2 linked regions of the Lytechinus pictus genome follow. Each later gene encodes a partner of the first gene's protein in a complex. Links are inferred from orthologs where the notes say so. Each region holds a gene or a part of one and is shown on either strand. Other genes may lie near its edges. The genes, in order: eukaryotic translation initiation factor 3 subunit D-like and eukaryotic translation initiation factor 3 subunit F-like.

The links.
Region 2: eukaryotic translation initiation factor 3 subunit D-like (region 1) and eukaryotic translation initiation factor 3 subunit F-like share a complex: the UniProt entries of both Drosophila melanogaster proteins name them as parts of the eukaryotic translation initiation factor 3 (eIF-3) complex. The link is inferred for Lytechinus pictus from reciprocal best matches to the Drosophila melanogaster genes eIF3d1 and eIF3f1.

What each region holds. Positions count from the first base shown.
Region 1 is NC_087254.1:36,520,402-36,528,167, reverse strand, and holds the start of eukaryotic translation initiation factor 3 subunit D-like, read left to right. Parts: upstream 1-4,578; 5' UTR 4,579-4,781; coding exon 4,782-4,907; intron 4,908-7,766. UniProt on the Drosophila melanogaster protein: mRNA cap-binding component of the eukaryotic translation initiation factor 3 (eIF-3) complex, which is involved in protein synthesis of a specialized repertoire of mRNAs and, together with other initiation factors, stimulates binding of mRNA and methionyl-tRNAi to the 40S ribosome.
Region 2 is NC_087252.1:22,051,078-22,059,264, forward strand, and holds the start of eukaryotic translation initiation factor 3 subunit F-like, read left to right. Parts: upstream 1-5,019; 5' UTR 5,020-5,057; coding exon 5,058-5,187; intron 5,188-7,788; coding exon 7,789-7,859; intron 7,860-8,187. Other genes in the region: mitochondrial import receptor subunit TOM70-like, read right to left, coding at 1,124-1,360. UniProt on the Drosophila melanogaster protein: Component of the eukaryotic translation initiation factor 3 (eIF-3) complex, which is involved in protein synthesis of a specialized repertoire of mRNAs and, together with other initiation factors, stimulates binding of mRNA and methionyl-tRNAi to the 40S ribosome.

The sequences.
Region 1 (7,766 bases):
AGCTTGAAGTTTGGGCCTAGTCCGTCCCTATGGTGGCCCTGAAGGGACATCGCATATCGACCAAATCGCGAATATTCACGACGAAATTGGCGACGAAATTCACGACGTCGCCAATTTCGTCGTGAATTTCGTCGTCAATTTGAATATTCACGACGAAATTGGCGACGAAATTCACGACATCGTGAATTTCGTCGCCAATTTCGTCGCGAATTATTCACGACGAAATTCACGACGTCGCCTATTTCGTCGCCAATTTAAATATTGACGACGAAATTCACGACGAAATTCGCGACATCGTAAATTTCGTCGCGAATTATTCACGACGAAATTCACGACGTCGTGAATTTCGTCGCCAATTTCGTCGTGAATTTGTTTTGCTTGCCTGGGCGGTATGCGGTTTGAGAAACCAATTCGTCTGCTGCTAATTCCTGCACTGCAGGGTCGATCTACATTCATTTAGTATAATGCAATTCTGTCCATTAACCTTTCGCCTAACAACCATATGGTCCAATAACCATTTGATCCAGTCATCACTTCGCATTGCCTGTTAGGTGTTCCAGGGGCGGATCCAGCCTTCGCCAATAGGGGGGGGGGGGCGGAATTATTTTTCAGCCATATTTTCCCCGATCGGCCGCTCGAAGATGATTTTTGGTTTCTGTGAAGGGGTGGTCTTCTTAGCTTTATTCTTATAAATCAATATAAATATATAATATCATAATCCTTATTTATATAATGTGAGCGCGAAGCGCGAGCTAATTTTTTTTTGGAAATCTTATGTATTTTTTCCTATAATTTGAACATTCTGGGCAATGTTTGTTTTCCTAAAAAAGATGTGTATGCAAATAAATAATTACTACAAACGCGAAGCGCGAGCAGAAATGAACTGGTGGAATAGGTACCTGTTAAAGACAGCATGCAGTTAGTCATGAAGACGTTATATATTTTAAAAATCAAATAATGCGAGCGCGATGCACGAGCTGAATTTTTTGAAATTTTTACTTAAAAATGGAAATTCTAAGGACTTTTTGTAACTTAAACAGAATAGGTATATAATAAACAATTGATGCGAGCGCGAAACGCGAGCTGAAAAATTTTGACATTTCTACATAAAGAATGGAACATTTTAATCAATTTTTGTAATCGTGAACAGGATAGCTATATAACTAAACAATTGATGCGAGTGCGAAGCGCGAGTGGAAAAAAATCGAGATTAGACCTTAACACGGGACACTCTATTCATGTTTTGTAAATTTGGAAAAGAATGAGTAATTCCTACATTAATGATGCAAGCACAAAGTGCGAGCAGAAAATTGTTTATATTGTGATCTGAAACTGGATAATGATTTAAATAGAGAACAAGTTGAATATCTGAATAAACATGCGCGCGCGTGTTTCATATTTAGACCTAGAATCTAGGCATTCTAAATACATCTTTTATCATGAAAATCAAAGCGAGCACGAAGCGCGAGCTTAAACTATTTGATATTCTATATTTCAAGCACTTTGTAAGAAAATTGTAAAGTGGATATGGATCACACAGAGCTGATTTTTTTCATTATAATTCTTTGAGTTTTGACATAGGACCGGTACATCCTTAGGACATATAGGACATCTCATCATATAAAAATGATGAATGTCTTCCTATTCCTCTTGCTAAGCGCAAGATGAAACAAAAGGGACAATTCAATTATTAAATTAATATCTTATTCATTAATGCTTAATGAGGGCGTGAAGTCGATGGCCTGAAAACTGGACATTTCATGCATTTGTAATTATAAATAGGATGCATCAGTTAATATATTTTAACAATTAATGCGAGCGCAAATTGCGAGCCTAAATCTGTGCATTGTCAAGAAAAGGGGATTGTATAATCAATATTGAGACATACGATCAAAATGCGGGCGTGTAGCGCTGGCTGATACGTTTTGACAATCAGACCTGAAAAGGGATATTTTGAAAACTTTATGGAATACACGAAAATAATAGGTACCTGATAAATCGAAATTTGCGGGCGCGCAGCGCGAGCGGGAAATGTTAATATTCAGACCATAAAACTGTCATATTTACAGAGCACTTTTTAAAAATCAATTTGTAAATCACGCAAAATAATAAAAGTTTGATTTTCGAGATGAAATATGTTTTGTATATTGACTTCCAAACTTGATATCTAAACTCCATATTGAACAAGATTATGAAAATCACCTAACAGGCAATGTGAGCGCGAAGCACGAGCGAAATTTTTATGAAGTGACATGAAATATTCTTTTTATTTCCATGTCTTCCCCTCATCTTACTTTATTCACTCGTCTCCTCCTCTTCTTTTTTCTACTCTCTTTTCCCTCCTTTTTTGCTTTCTTTCCTTATTTCCTTTCTTTGCTCCGCCAATAGGGGGGGGGGACGGGACGGGCCCCTCGGCCCCCTCCCCCTGGATCCGCCTATGCATATGGATAGCAGTGGACATCGTTCTGTCGTTTCAATGTTTTTTTATTCAATTGGTCTAATGCCAACTCGTCAGCTTTCATTTGGTCTACCATCAGTTCGTCCACTATCCACATGGTCTAACTGCCAAGTTTGTCTAATAACCAAGTTGGTCCAATTGCCATTTATTCCATATGCCATTTTGTCTAATTGAACTAAGTGTTAATTGGGCGAAATTAAGGAAAATAAAATTGATATTAGACCAACTAGTTGTGAGACGAAATGGTCATAGACGAACTGGTGATTATAGACGAAGTGATGACTGGACCAAATGGTTATTGGACCATATGGTTGTTAGGCGAAAAGTTAATGGCCAGAATTGCATTAGAGTAAATGAATGTAGGTCGACCCTGCAGTGGAGGAATTAGCAGCAGACGAATTGGTTTCAACCCGCATACCGCCCAGGCAAACAAAACAAATTCACGACGAAATTGGCGACGAAATTCACGACGTCGTGAATTTCGTCGTGAATAATTCGCGACGAAATTTACGATGTCGCGAATTTCGTCGTGAATTTCGTCGTCAATATTTAAATTGGCGACGAAATTGGCGACGTCGTGAATTTCGTCGTGAATAATTCGCGACGAAATTGGCGACGAAATTCACGATGTCGTGAATTTCGTCGCCAATTTCGTCGTGAATATTCAAATTGACGACGAAATTCACGACGAAATTGGCGACGTCGTGAATTTCGTCGCCAATTTCGTCGTGAATATTCGCGATTTGGTCTATATGCGATGTCCCTTCAGGGCCACCATACGTCCCCGCTATTTTCATACCCCATGACTACATCGACAATCTCGCTCGGCTAGCACCGGCGATATCAAAGGCCGGATCCCGCTCTGACCATATCCCTACATATCATTGACCTAAATTTGAATAGGCCTAAAATCGACAGTTTGTCGACCTTTGTCGTTACTAAAAAACAGGAGGTCGGAAACAAGTCCACATCTACCCTAACCCAGAGAGCTCCCGCCCGCGCAGCGGGCGGGAGCCCAGAAGCTTACCGTGTATTTTACCATTGTCACCGGACTAGGGTGATTTATGGTCTAAATATTTCTCCAAATGAATTGTGAAAACGGAAAGTATACAATTACCACGATTATATGGATGAAGGTCTAACGAGTGGCAGATTCCTGACATCTGGGCACAGTCTGGAACCTCAAAAAAACGAAAAGTTTTCTCCTTCTACCCAGTCTCGATCGGCCATTTTGTTAGTGATTTTTAACAAAAATGGCCGATCGAGACGGGGTAGAAGGAGAGAACTTTTCGTTTTTTTGAGGTTCCAGACTGTGCCCAGATGTCAGGAATCTGCCACTCGTTAGACCTTCATCCATATAATCGTGGTAATTGTATACTTTCTGTTTTCACAATTCATTTGGAGAAATATTTAGACCATAAATCACCCTAGTCCGGTGACAATGGTAAAATACACGGTAAGCTTCTGGGCTCCCGCCCGCTGCGCGGGCGGGAGCTCTCTGGGTTACATCTACCCCTGATAATTGTCTAATCACAATAAAACTGAAATAAAGGTTTACTTTGGACCTACATGAAGCATTCCGATGAATGTCTAGATCTACGACAAACTATAGACCCCTACTCCCTAGATATAGTATTTTTGAGAAACTCAATGATCACACTTATTTGGAAGTCAGGCAAAAGAAATATTGAAATTGAGGTTTACATAGTGCGTAATACAGGATGAGCCCCGAACCCCGGCAAACACATTACAATTTGCAAGTGAGATCAAAACATGAAAATGAGCGTAACTTACTTTTATTCCTATGGAATGTCATTAGAATAGTATTGATGTTCCCTCCAAGATTTTCCGCTCCAATGAAGTTCACTCAGAAACCATGATTTCGAACATCAATTCTATAAACAGATAATTAGTCTAGCTATTTCGTTTCAGAAACTTCAAATTCGCAGAGTCCAAAAGAACGACACTTCGCACAGATATCGTAGGGAATTGTGGGACGGAAAAAAATGTTTAATGCATGAGTACATGAATAAAACATTAGCGTTTAATCCAATCATACAAGTGCATTATGCGTATTTTGACGTCATTCTCATGAATAAAACATTGACCCTCCAAAATCAACCTTCAAATTGTCCACCGGCAGCCATGTTGGCTGTGTACAGGAGCTTACGGGAGCTTACGTATACGTAAGATCGTATCTCTGTGGCACTGGGGTTTAATAGCGCCATCTCATGATCGGGTCACTTTAGTGTGATATTTGGCTGCATGTGCATGTGTGCGGCGACCGGGAAAAAAGAAGGACTCTCACCGAAATATCATAAAAATGAGCGCCCGATTCATTCCTCCAGAGATACAGGATAATCCAACAGGATGGGGTCCTTGTACGATTCCAAAGCAATTCAAAGATATTCCATACCAACCATTTTCAAAGGGAGATCGCCTCGGAAAGGTAATTACTAGTACATGATAGTAGTGCCAGTGGAATGCCTCTCTATTCATTCATGCATTATTGCATAGGCGTACCACTACCAGTTTCCCATATGTTGTGTAGAATGTGTACGGTATGGTACGGTACGGTAGGGGCCGACTACCGAATGTACGTCGTCGATGATGCGTGTATGACTATGACTATGAGTAGTCTTGAGAAGTCGAGGACTCCATTGGCCTGTTGCACGACCATGACGACGAGATGAGCGATACGTAGGAACGTCCTACTAGTACTACTACTCCTACTCCTAGGAGTCCTAGGTAGCCAGGCGGCTTCTAGAGAGTAAAAATCATTTACTAACGTAAGGTCACTCTCATAGTACGAAGCCAGGGCTTCCGTCATATACTTTTGCGTGTACCACCAAAAAACCTGAAACTTTCGCCCCCGAAATTTCTACTTTCTTTCTAAAAGATCTAGCCCTAAATCATGTACATGGGATAAAACTTCATTTCCGACATTTCTACGCTCTCGTTGTTATTTTTGAACAAGAATTCATCAAAAAAATGAGAGAAATGTTGTGTAAAGACGGAAGAGACTTGCCCGATGTTTTCGCCGCCATCTTGTTTCCTATTGTTCTTCGCCAACGTTACAGACGCATGCGTCGGGTAACGTTGGGGAAGAACAATAGGTGGGTGGTGTCCAAAGAAGATCATGCCTACGTAGGACATGTCTGGAGGTGTCTTTCCAAGGACCATTCTTCGTATCGCCCAAATCGGCTTTGTGAAACAGTTGAGCGATATCTCGTTCTTACGTAGAATGGTTCTACGAAAGACCCTTTCATGCAACAGGCCCCATGATGATGTCTTTTTAAAAAAATTTGACATATACTTCAAGGCTCCACATTAACTTTTTTTGGTGGTGGCCCGTTCGGGCCACCAAAACCATCAAATAATTTTTTTTGGTGGCCCGATATTAAAGTTTGGTGGCCCGAAAAATATAAAGAAAAACATTAAAAATGAATAAAACAAACTTCTGAAATATTAATTCTGCAGCCACTACCACTATATGTTACTTTTACTTTATACATCTTGTATGTAAACCTTGTTTGCTGTTATTTTACTTTGCTAATTTATAAATGTTTCTATCGTTGTATAAATGAAATGATTGAAAGAGAATAAATGAATTGTATTGTTCGCAGGTTGTGTGGACTTTTTTTTTAAATCTCTGTATAGAGCTAATGGTAAAGTAAATAAATAGTGCATAGCAAATTCAGTTAGATGTACAAATCAATGGTTTTTCCTTCCTTCCTCTTTGAATCCTAAAACCTAGATTATGCATGCCCCAAATCCAGTTTATTTCTGTTTTCTCTTTTGCAGCATATTATAGAAGGAGAAAATCACAGAAAAATATGCTGCAAATTTAGAACAATGCATAAAAGGGAGAAACAAACGAAAATAATTTTCAAAAAGTATATTACAAAAAGAAAACAAAAATAATAAAAGAAATTAGTGAAATAAAACAAAAGAAAGAAAATGAAGGGGAAAAAAGAAAAGAAAAAAATTAGAGAGAAAAAAGGAAAGAAAATGAAAGAAAAATTAATAAAACAGTTAATAAAAAAATGGGGAAAAGTGGAAAATTAAGAAGCCATTACATATATTTTTTAACAGCTGTGGCAACAGTCTATTCTGACTGGAATATAATTAAAAGCCAAGCAAATAATTTTCACTTACTTTTTGGGAATGGCACATTTTCATTTTTATATCCTTTAGTTTGTATTATTTTATTTTCAGTAGAAACATATTTTTTAATCAGGCATATTCAATGGGAAGGGGTATAAATGGTTTAACCACTGTCAAAAAAAAATGAAAGGAAAAAAAAAAGAAAACGGCAAAATTTATATCTGGAAAAAAAGTGTGAGAAAAGTCCTTCCCTATATTTGCCAAAATGTTGGGAAAAAAAATCACATTTCATATCAATGAATTGCCTTGCCTTCCCAAAGTATTTACTCTCTCAAGAGTGGTTTAAGAAGTCATTTATAAACAAGAAAGAAAGAAACTGTCTTGTTTGTTTTTGGCTAGAAAATACACAGCTTAAAAAAAAACCAAGTATCAACATACATACAAATGCACACGTGGGACTGTGATGTACTTGCCTATGTGTTTTTATGTGTATTAATTCATGTGGAAATCGGTCTTTTTGAGTCAAAAGAGAGGTCATAATTCCTCTTCTTAATACTTGCAAATAATCAGGGTACATCAGATTTTCGTAATATACAGTGCGTCCCAAAAAAAACTATACACTTTTGAAATGGCTGCCAAATAAAAAATGTAGCACTTTGGGGAAAAAGACTTACATATGTGGAAAGCCAATAAAGTCAACTTTCAAATGACACCAAAAAGTTGGAAAACTATTCATGCTTGAGCGAGCACTGCCCACTGAAACAAAGGGTATGAAAATTAGGGTGGGCTGGAATTAGCCTTCCAATTTATGTCAGTTTTTGAGAGGCAAATCCTTTCGAACTTGCAAAGTTAAGGGCGTTGTGATAAATTAATGATCAGCCGTGACCAGTCTTGGTTGCTTAAGCAAATGTTTTAAATTATTGAATTGAACTTTAATGCATGAGTGAACACAAATTACACTTTTTTGGCAGCATTTCAACTTTATCATTTGGATCTCAGCAATGTGTTCATGGGAGTCGGGAGAGTAAAGGGTGAGATAGGACTTAAGTGGGAGAAGTAGGTTGATGGAATAAGGGTCAACAGAACATTCAGCTTCCGCCCCCTCCCTCTTTCCCGCCCTACCCTCCCGTTGAGAGACTAATGGCTATTGTCATGTACACGTGAAGTCCATAGCAGAATGTTGATTTAATGATTAATTCTG
Region 2 (8,187 bases), on another chromosome or scaffold:
CAATAATTTTGCTTTACAAATTTGAATAGCATTTCTGTCCATAAGAGAAAAGCTCTCAACTACATGTAAGTAATGTACAGCCCTATGTGAAAATATGCTATACAAAAGACTGAATGCATAGCAGTTTTTCACAAATGTGGAGCAAATTGTGATGCGATACCAGGAAAATTATTCCCTGAACAAGTGTGTATATTACTCAATACCCGAGCAATATTATGTGTCTTATATTGTTTAAAAGAGAGTGAATCATGTTGGTCCATACTTGTGTGGTCGTAAGTGCCTAAGAGTAAGACCACAGGGTATGGGTACGCGCACGTCCCTAAATGGGGAGATCGCGAACGGACGGCTGTGCGTTCGCAAGGGGCCTTGCCTGCGTGGAAGCCATCTTGATCACTTGAGAGTCAACCGGTGCGAGACGAGGACGTCTGTGTTTAGAGCCATCTACACAAATCAACCTTTGCTTCGCCCTTTCACCCTTCGAGTTTCAACTATACATCACACCTGCAACCATCTACAGCAAATACTTCACACCAACAACATCCTACAAGTAAGTTTGGGCCTGCTTTTTAGTTCGATATTCATTTCACCGTTGTCTCACACCAACTTTTGTCTGGTGATTATCTCTAAAGTTCCCTTTTAACCGCACTTTCCACCCTTTTTCCCTCACAGGATTTATATATTATTAATATCCCTAATTTTACCACACTTGATAAACCATTGTCATATCAAAACTGATAAGGCATGAGCTGTGGACTGGTGGCACAATGTAATTTGTCTCTCTAAAAGTTAGTTCCTGAAGAAAAAAAAAATTGTAGAAACGTCAGAATTTTTGTGGTTTTGCAAAAGCCCCGCCCCTGCCACGGGCCCGAGAAATAGTTTTCCAGGCAGTAGTCTCGTATATTCTGCACTGTGCAATTGAAACAAGGGCCAGCCATGACTAGGACAGAGAGAGTAGGAGAGTAACCTCCAAATCCAATCACCAATGCCATGCCATGGCAATGCCCATGTTAACCGGTTAAGCTCCGCGGACGGAGGCTGAGCCGGCAATGCAGGCTCGCCGGGCGTGCCGCCGAGCCCAAACCCTGTCTTTCGCCTAATCATTGTCTTTCCACGCACTACTCACCTGTGTGTGTTCCACGCTGCTGTTCTTTCCCGCATCCCCTTCGCCATTGGCTTTGGTATTTCCAGAAGTTCCTGCAGTACCTGACTTAGTATCCGAGCTTTCCTCTGGACTCCCACTTCGAGTAAGATAGTAGGCTCCAAATGCAAGTCCTGCCACTGCTATTGGGGCTCCGACTGCTATCGCAATTTGCCATTTTGTCCATCCAACATCGCTCCCTGGCCTGCTACTCGCTGCCATCTTGGATTACGAAGTGAAACGCCATAAGTTGTGCGGTACGAACTATTCCCGCACGTGCGTGATCATTGCGGCGTTTATTTTGCATTATCATAATGCATAATGATACGGAAAAAGCTACAAAGAATATTCCCTACATAAGAGATAGATTCCTTAACTGAGTGTGGTGTGATGAAGTTGCTCGGAGTCGGAGACATGCAGTCTCCCGGGGCAGTCTCAGAATTTTTAGCATTTATTTTATCAACCTTGCATTTTAGGGAATGAATCTAGGTCTACATAAGATGCCTTTTAAAAACAATTCATTGGCCAGTAGAGAATCCTGGTTTGAAAAGTGATCGGGGGGGGGGGGGGGGGGGTTAGGGGCGTCCCACTATGGGTGGGGGCTCAATCCGGGGGCTCAATTAAGCTGTTATATTTTGTCGAGCCCCCCCCCCCCTTCAAAGAGAAACTGGTCTCTCACTCCATTCACCTCCAACCCCTTTTGACCGCCATTCCATTTAATTTTACACAACTTGAGTATTGTATGCTCTATTCAATTATAAAAATTCATCATTATTTTTTAAATGAAATATTACCATTAAAATATTTAGTATCATCATTATTATATTTATTATTATTTTCATTAGTATTGTTATTATTATTATCATCATCATCATGATTATTATTGTTTTAGGGAGTGGCGTACAGATCGATGCGGGGGCTTGGGGATCCCCCCCCCCCCCGAAAAAAAAAGGAAAGAGAGAATTAAGAGTAAAATATAATATTATTTCCTCAATGTGACATCTAAATCTATCACAAAACTTGATTTTTGTATTTAAAAAGTAGAAATTTATTCTCGCTCGCTTCGCTCACTTGTAGCTTTCTATGAACTTTGCCTGATATACACCAAATCTGGCACCATAAAAATTTTCGGCTCACGACGCCACCGATTTCAGTCCATGGTGGCAGACCTAGGTAGGGGTACATCCGATATTTGACTAATTGTGCCCCCGCCCCCTCTCGAGAGCAAAAAATAAAATTATTGTCAATTAAAGGTTTTCCCCTTCATCTTTTATTTTTTTGTGGAAAATAGGTAAAAAATAAAAATGTCTTTAATAACGCTGAGCGGGCACCGCCCGGTAATTAAGCTTCGGCACCGCCCAGTAACTTTATTAGCTTGCGCTCGCATTGCTTTATGAGATATACTGCTTGTTATTTATTTCAAAAGTGCTTGAAAGATCCAGTTTTCAGATCTGTATATTAAAAAATAATAATTTCGCGCTCGCATCAGTAATATGGTTGCGTCAGATGCTATCCTGTTTTTATATTGCTATAAGGTTAAAAGAAGATGACTTTTTGGTCGGAAAAAAATAAAGATACGCTTCGCGCTCACATTAATAAAAATTTAATTAAATAGCTACCCTGTCCTTGATTTTAAAATAGGCTAATAATACCAATTTTTAGGCCGGAAATGACATATCTTCAGTACACACTTCGCGCTCGAATCTAATATTGATTAGTAAAATTCCTATCCTGTTCATGATTTGAAAAAGTGTTACGATTGTCCAGTTTTTAGGTTAGAAGATACAAACTTTCAGCCTGCGCTTCGCGCCCGCATTAATTGTTTAGATTCCTATCCTGTTCATAATTTTTTTTTTAAGTACTAAGAATGTCCATTATTTAGGTTGGAAAATAAAAAACATTCAGCTCCCGCTTCGCACTCGCATTCATTGTTTAGATTCCTATTCCGTTCATTATTAAAGGACAAGTCCACCCCAACAAAAAGTTGATTTGAATAAAAAGAGAAAAATCCAACAAGCATAACACAAAAAATTTCATCAAAATCGGATGTAAAATAAGAAAGTTATGACATTTTAAAGTTTCGCTAAATTTCACAAAACAGTTATATGCACATTGTGGCTGGTATGCAAATGAGGAGACTATGACGTCATCCACTCACTATTTCTTTTGTATTTTATTATATGAAATATGAAATATTCTTATATTTTCCTCATTGTCAAGTGATACAACAATTAATTCCTCTCTGAACATGTGGAATTAGCTTTGTTTAATACTATATGGTTCAGTCAAGTTGGTCCTTATTGTCAAATCTGTAAAAAATAAAATATTGTATAATTCAAACAATAAAAAACAAAAGAAATAGTGAGTGATGGACATCATCGACTGATTCATGCACCTAATTGTGCATTATGTTTTGTGAAAAATAAGCGAAACTTAAAAATGTCATAACTTTCTTATTTAACATCCGATTTTGATGAAATTTTCAGAACTATGCTAGTTTGAGTTTTCTCTATTTATTCAAGTCAGCATTTTCCTGGGGTGGACTTGACCTTTAAGTGCTTAGAATGTCCACTTTTTAGGTTGGAAAATCAAAAACTGTCAGCTCGCGCTCGCATCTATTATTTAGTTGAATTCCTATTCTGTTCATGATTTATTTGAAAAAGTGTTACGAATGTCTAGTTTTTAGGTTGGAAAATAAAAAACTTTCAGCTCGCGCTTCGCGCTCGCATTATTTATTGAGGCCTTTCATCTTTAGTTAGGAATACCTCCCCTCTTCGAAATATGTATATATATAGGCCTATATGTATACATATTCATACCTATTAAACGTCTGCTACCGGCGGTTTCACGCCCAGACTTGAGGACATCTTCAGGCAGACTGACGTTATTGACTATTTTGTGTGGTGCGGCGGGTCAATTTGACGCTTCGGTGGTTTCCGGTTTGGTCTCGAAACCGCCGTTAGCAGACGTTCAATATGAATATATGCTCTGCTTTATATAGCATTGAGCACTTTGCACAATCATCGGCATCTCCCGTCACATCTAAGGATATATATATGTTTGAGTTAGTTATTCTGGAGAACATAAAAACGGAAAACTCAATTGTGTCCCCCCTACCTTCAAGGAGAGATTTCCGCCCATGTACCCATGTATGTACTGAAGGCCCTCTGAGTCGCTCCTGAATTGAAACAGCAAAGCTTTGTATGTGCTAGTCTTTGCGTGGAGACACACTTGTTGATCAAAGTTTCAATCAGGGTCTGTGCCTGCAGACTATATACTCTCAAACGGGACATAGACATTTTCGGGGGCTTTCCTGGGGATTCTTATATTGTTACTTTTTTTCCTCCAGAAACGGACCCATATATCTAAGGATTATTCAGTAGAAAAAAAAGGAACCCATGACTAAGGATTTCTTGCAATAGCAAGACCCATGTCAAGGGTTTTATTTTTATTTTATTTTATTTTTTGCAAAAAATGACCCAAATGGAGCGGCACATCCCCGCGTATGCGATATACACGCAAGACCCCCCCCCCCCATCCCACGGGAATTGTTTCATGATAGAGGAGGAACTATTCTCACTTGCGTAGGCCTGTAGGAGGAAGGGGGGGGGGCTTTGGTTGCGCCCCCTGTACCCCATCAATTTTTTTAATGAAATAACTTGATGATCTTTTTCAATATATTTTTTTTTTATAATAGCAAACACAGTCATGATCGATGTAGAAACGCTGGTAAGAATTTCAACTGGAGATACATTCTTAAAGCTATTGGCCCGATGGAAATAATTTTCAGGCCACCGGGGCCTATTTTGGCATTTTCTTCAGCTGTTTCCAACTCAAAATAGCTCCACTCACCCCCCCCCCCCCTCATCCCCATCGACTGATCGAGAAACATTTATTTAGCCTGGCCCTTCTCCAACCAATGATGGCAGCATTCAAAATGGCGGCCTCAGCAAAAGTCGTGAATATCCATCCGGTAGTTTTATTCAGCATTGTTGACTCTTTCGAGAGGCGGACAGATGAATCAGCACGTGTAATCGGAACTTTACTTGGTAAGTATTCAAGGATAATAACTTCAGCAAAATAAAATAATGCCTTGATGGAGATTCTGTACATTGAAATGAATGATATTCCAGCGCTGTGTACCACACGTGATTTTGGGCTCTGGCATCTGCAGCTCCTGAGTCCTGGCCCGAGCCCGAGGCTTGTGTCAGTGACAGTGGCCAGTGGACGAGGGGGACTCGTGAAGAAGAGCCCCTATCTGTACACCAAGGGGGGGGGGGGGGGGGTGACGAAGGGCTGCCGGCTGAGCCTGACTCTGTTGTCGTGTTGACTGTTGAGTGTTGTCCTTCCTGTTTCGTGATTTTTTTCTTCACCAAATTGTGTCTTATTTTTTGTCATAAAAAAATAAATTAAATTTCGAAATTTCTTGTAACACTAACAGTTTTCTAGGGAAATGGTCTGATTGTAATATTCTTCACTTTCTATAACTTTTTTTTCACAGAAATTTGTATAAAAAAGTGTAATTTTCTGCACTTTTCCTACAGCTCACGATTCCCATAGATGCGCGTGTATTTACTGTAAAAATCTAAAATTAGCTGTGTTGGTGTTGGATTGTTAATGTTGGTGCTCGACTCATCTGAGTGTGATTTAGCAAATTAATTCAGTTACACTAGATCTAGTGGTCCTATTGTATTGATACCAGTAACCCTTGGGTAAACTTATTCTCGAGGTCGGACATCCGGGGATTTTCACTCGCAAAAGTAACTTCTGCATAGCAACCGATCGCGAGGGTGCAAACAAAGCCGGAACAATCATAGCAACCGATCGCGAGGGTGCAAACAAAGCCGGAACAATCGGGGCGCGCAAACAAAAGTCCATTGACTCAGCTGGGTTGAGATATACGTTGAGATGCCACCCCTCTTATTTTGATAACAATTGTCACCCCCACTTTCAAAATGAAATGATCGTGAGCATTTTTTTATAATCTATATTTTGATACCAAATATTGGTAACTTGAGCAGGCAGCTTTGAAACATCGATTGCTTAATGTGGGCGTCTCAAATCGTCGCCCGAGAAAAATGGCAGCTAAAATTCGCACCGTACGGACCAAGCTTGCAAGTCCGAATTTGACTGCGCTAAACTCCTTTTTCTTTTGCTGGATCTTTTAACCAAATGTTGCAGCATTTCAGGGAATTACTGAGGATTAATATCAGATGCCACAAGACACTTTTCAACATTGCAAATGATTTCTAGAACCATTTTGGTCATGCAGTGACAGGTGAGTGGCGCAACAGTAAAAAAATTGCACATGGCGACTCACTGCGCATGTAGTGATGTACGTTAAAACTTCGGATAAAGCTGGCCATCTTGCCTTGTTCTTGGAACACCCGTACACACAACATATTTTCACCATTGTCCAGCAATTAAAATCAAAATGCAGTACAAAACGCGATGAAAATATAATATAACAGTTCAAATCAACGACTTCCAAAAAACTTCAAGGAAACTGCACAGCCAACACGTACGCTCGCACCCTTTGTTTGCACCTTTGCCCTTTGTTGTTAGGGAAATCACGTGACTGTGACGTCATGCCGACCTCGAGAATGAGGTATATATGGACTGCTCTGTATTCGGATGACGGTGGAACTCATCTCTCTCCAAAGTGCCTCAGTGGGGTGATAGAAGGGCTGGTATGAAAAGCACCTTGGGAATGACAATTTACACAGTCATCCTACTAAAGCAGTCAATGTTTATATAATGTTACATGTCATGTTCTCAAAAAAATGTAATTAATGTACATTATCCATATTCCAAGATTAAAGGAGAATGAAACTCTTGGAGCAAGTTAGCTTTTGTGAAAGCAAAAAAATCAAAGAATAAGATCAACAAAAGTTTGAGTAAAATAGGACTAGCAATAGAAGAGTTCTGAGCATTTGAATGTCGAGATCACTAATGCTATGGAGATCCTCCCATTGGCAATGCGACCAAGATCTATGATGTCACAGATGAACAACTCTCCCCTTTTGGACACTGAAAATATACCCCAAAACATCTCTTTTTGCTCATTCTAATCATATGACAAACGATTCATCAATGATATAATGTTGTGAAACCTCTGACTTGTCCTCTCATAAAGAGAACACCTCACCTTGTGATAGACTCTATAAAAGTGAGAATATAAGTGAAATAAGTACTAAAGTAATGAGGGAGTTGTACGTGTGTGACATCACAGATCTTGGTCGCATTGCCAATGGGAGGATCTACATGGCATTAGTGATCTCAATATTCAAATGCTCATAACTTTCTTATTATTCATTCAATCTTCCTCAAACTTTCAACGATATGTTTCTTGGATTTTTCTCTTTGATATGGATTCAGCTGGTTTCAAGGGTTTCATTCTCCTTTAATAATACCCAAATAAATGATGAAATTTTTAAATTTAAAAACACAAAAAAATACATATGAGGAGGTGGGGGGGTCATTTTCAAATAATTCAAATAATTCACTGTGTCTATATACAAAGAGATCAATTTATTTTAGTGTAAAATGTAGGTTTATCAGATTGTAATTTGCAGAATTCATCATTGATCTACTTATGATTCAATTAACATAATTCCTTATTGTGGCCTCTGTTTTTTTTTTTAATGTAGGTACGAGTATTCAAGGAGTTGTTGAAGTCACAAATTGTTTCTGTGTGCCTCACAATGAATCAGAAGATGAGGTGAGTTAAAGCTGCTCGGAAATGCACCATCTTGATACCTATAGTACCTCGTATTGACCCTACATCATTATCTACGATGCAACGTTTTGATATGTTCATTCAGTCGTATATATATGTTTATTAAGAATGATGAATAATTTCCTTGTATTTTTTACACTAAAGCATCCATACTGCAATATTTTTCAAGAAATAAAAAATGTGTTTACTGTGCTTCTAGGCATTCCTGTTTCTTTTTTGAAAGATACCAATCTAATGGAAAAGAAAAATCAAAATTCACAATAATATCTGACTTTCTGATTGTTGGATTACAGGGTATAATGGGATGGGA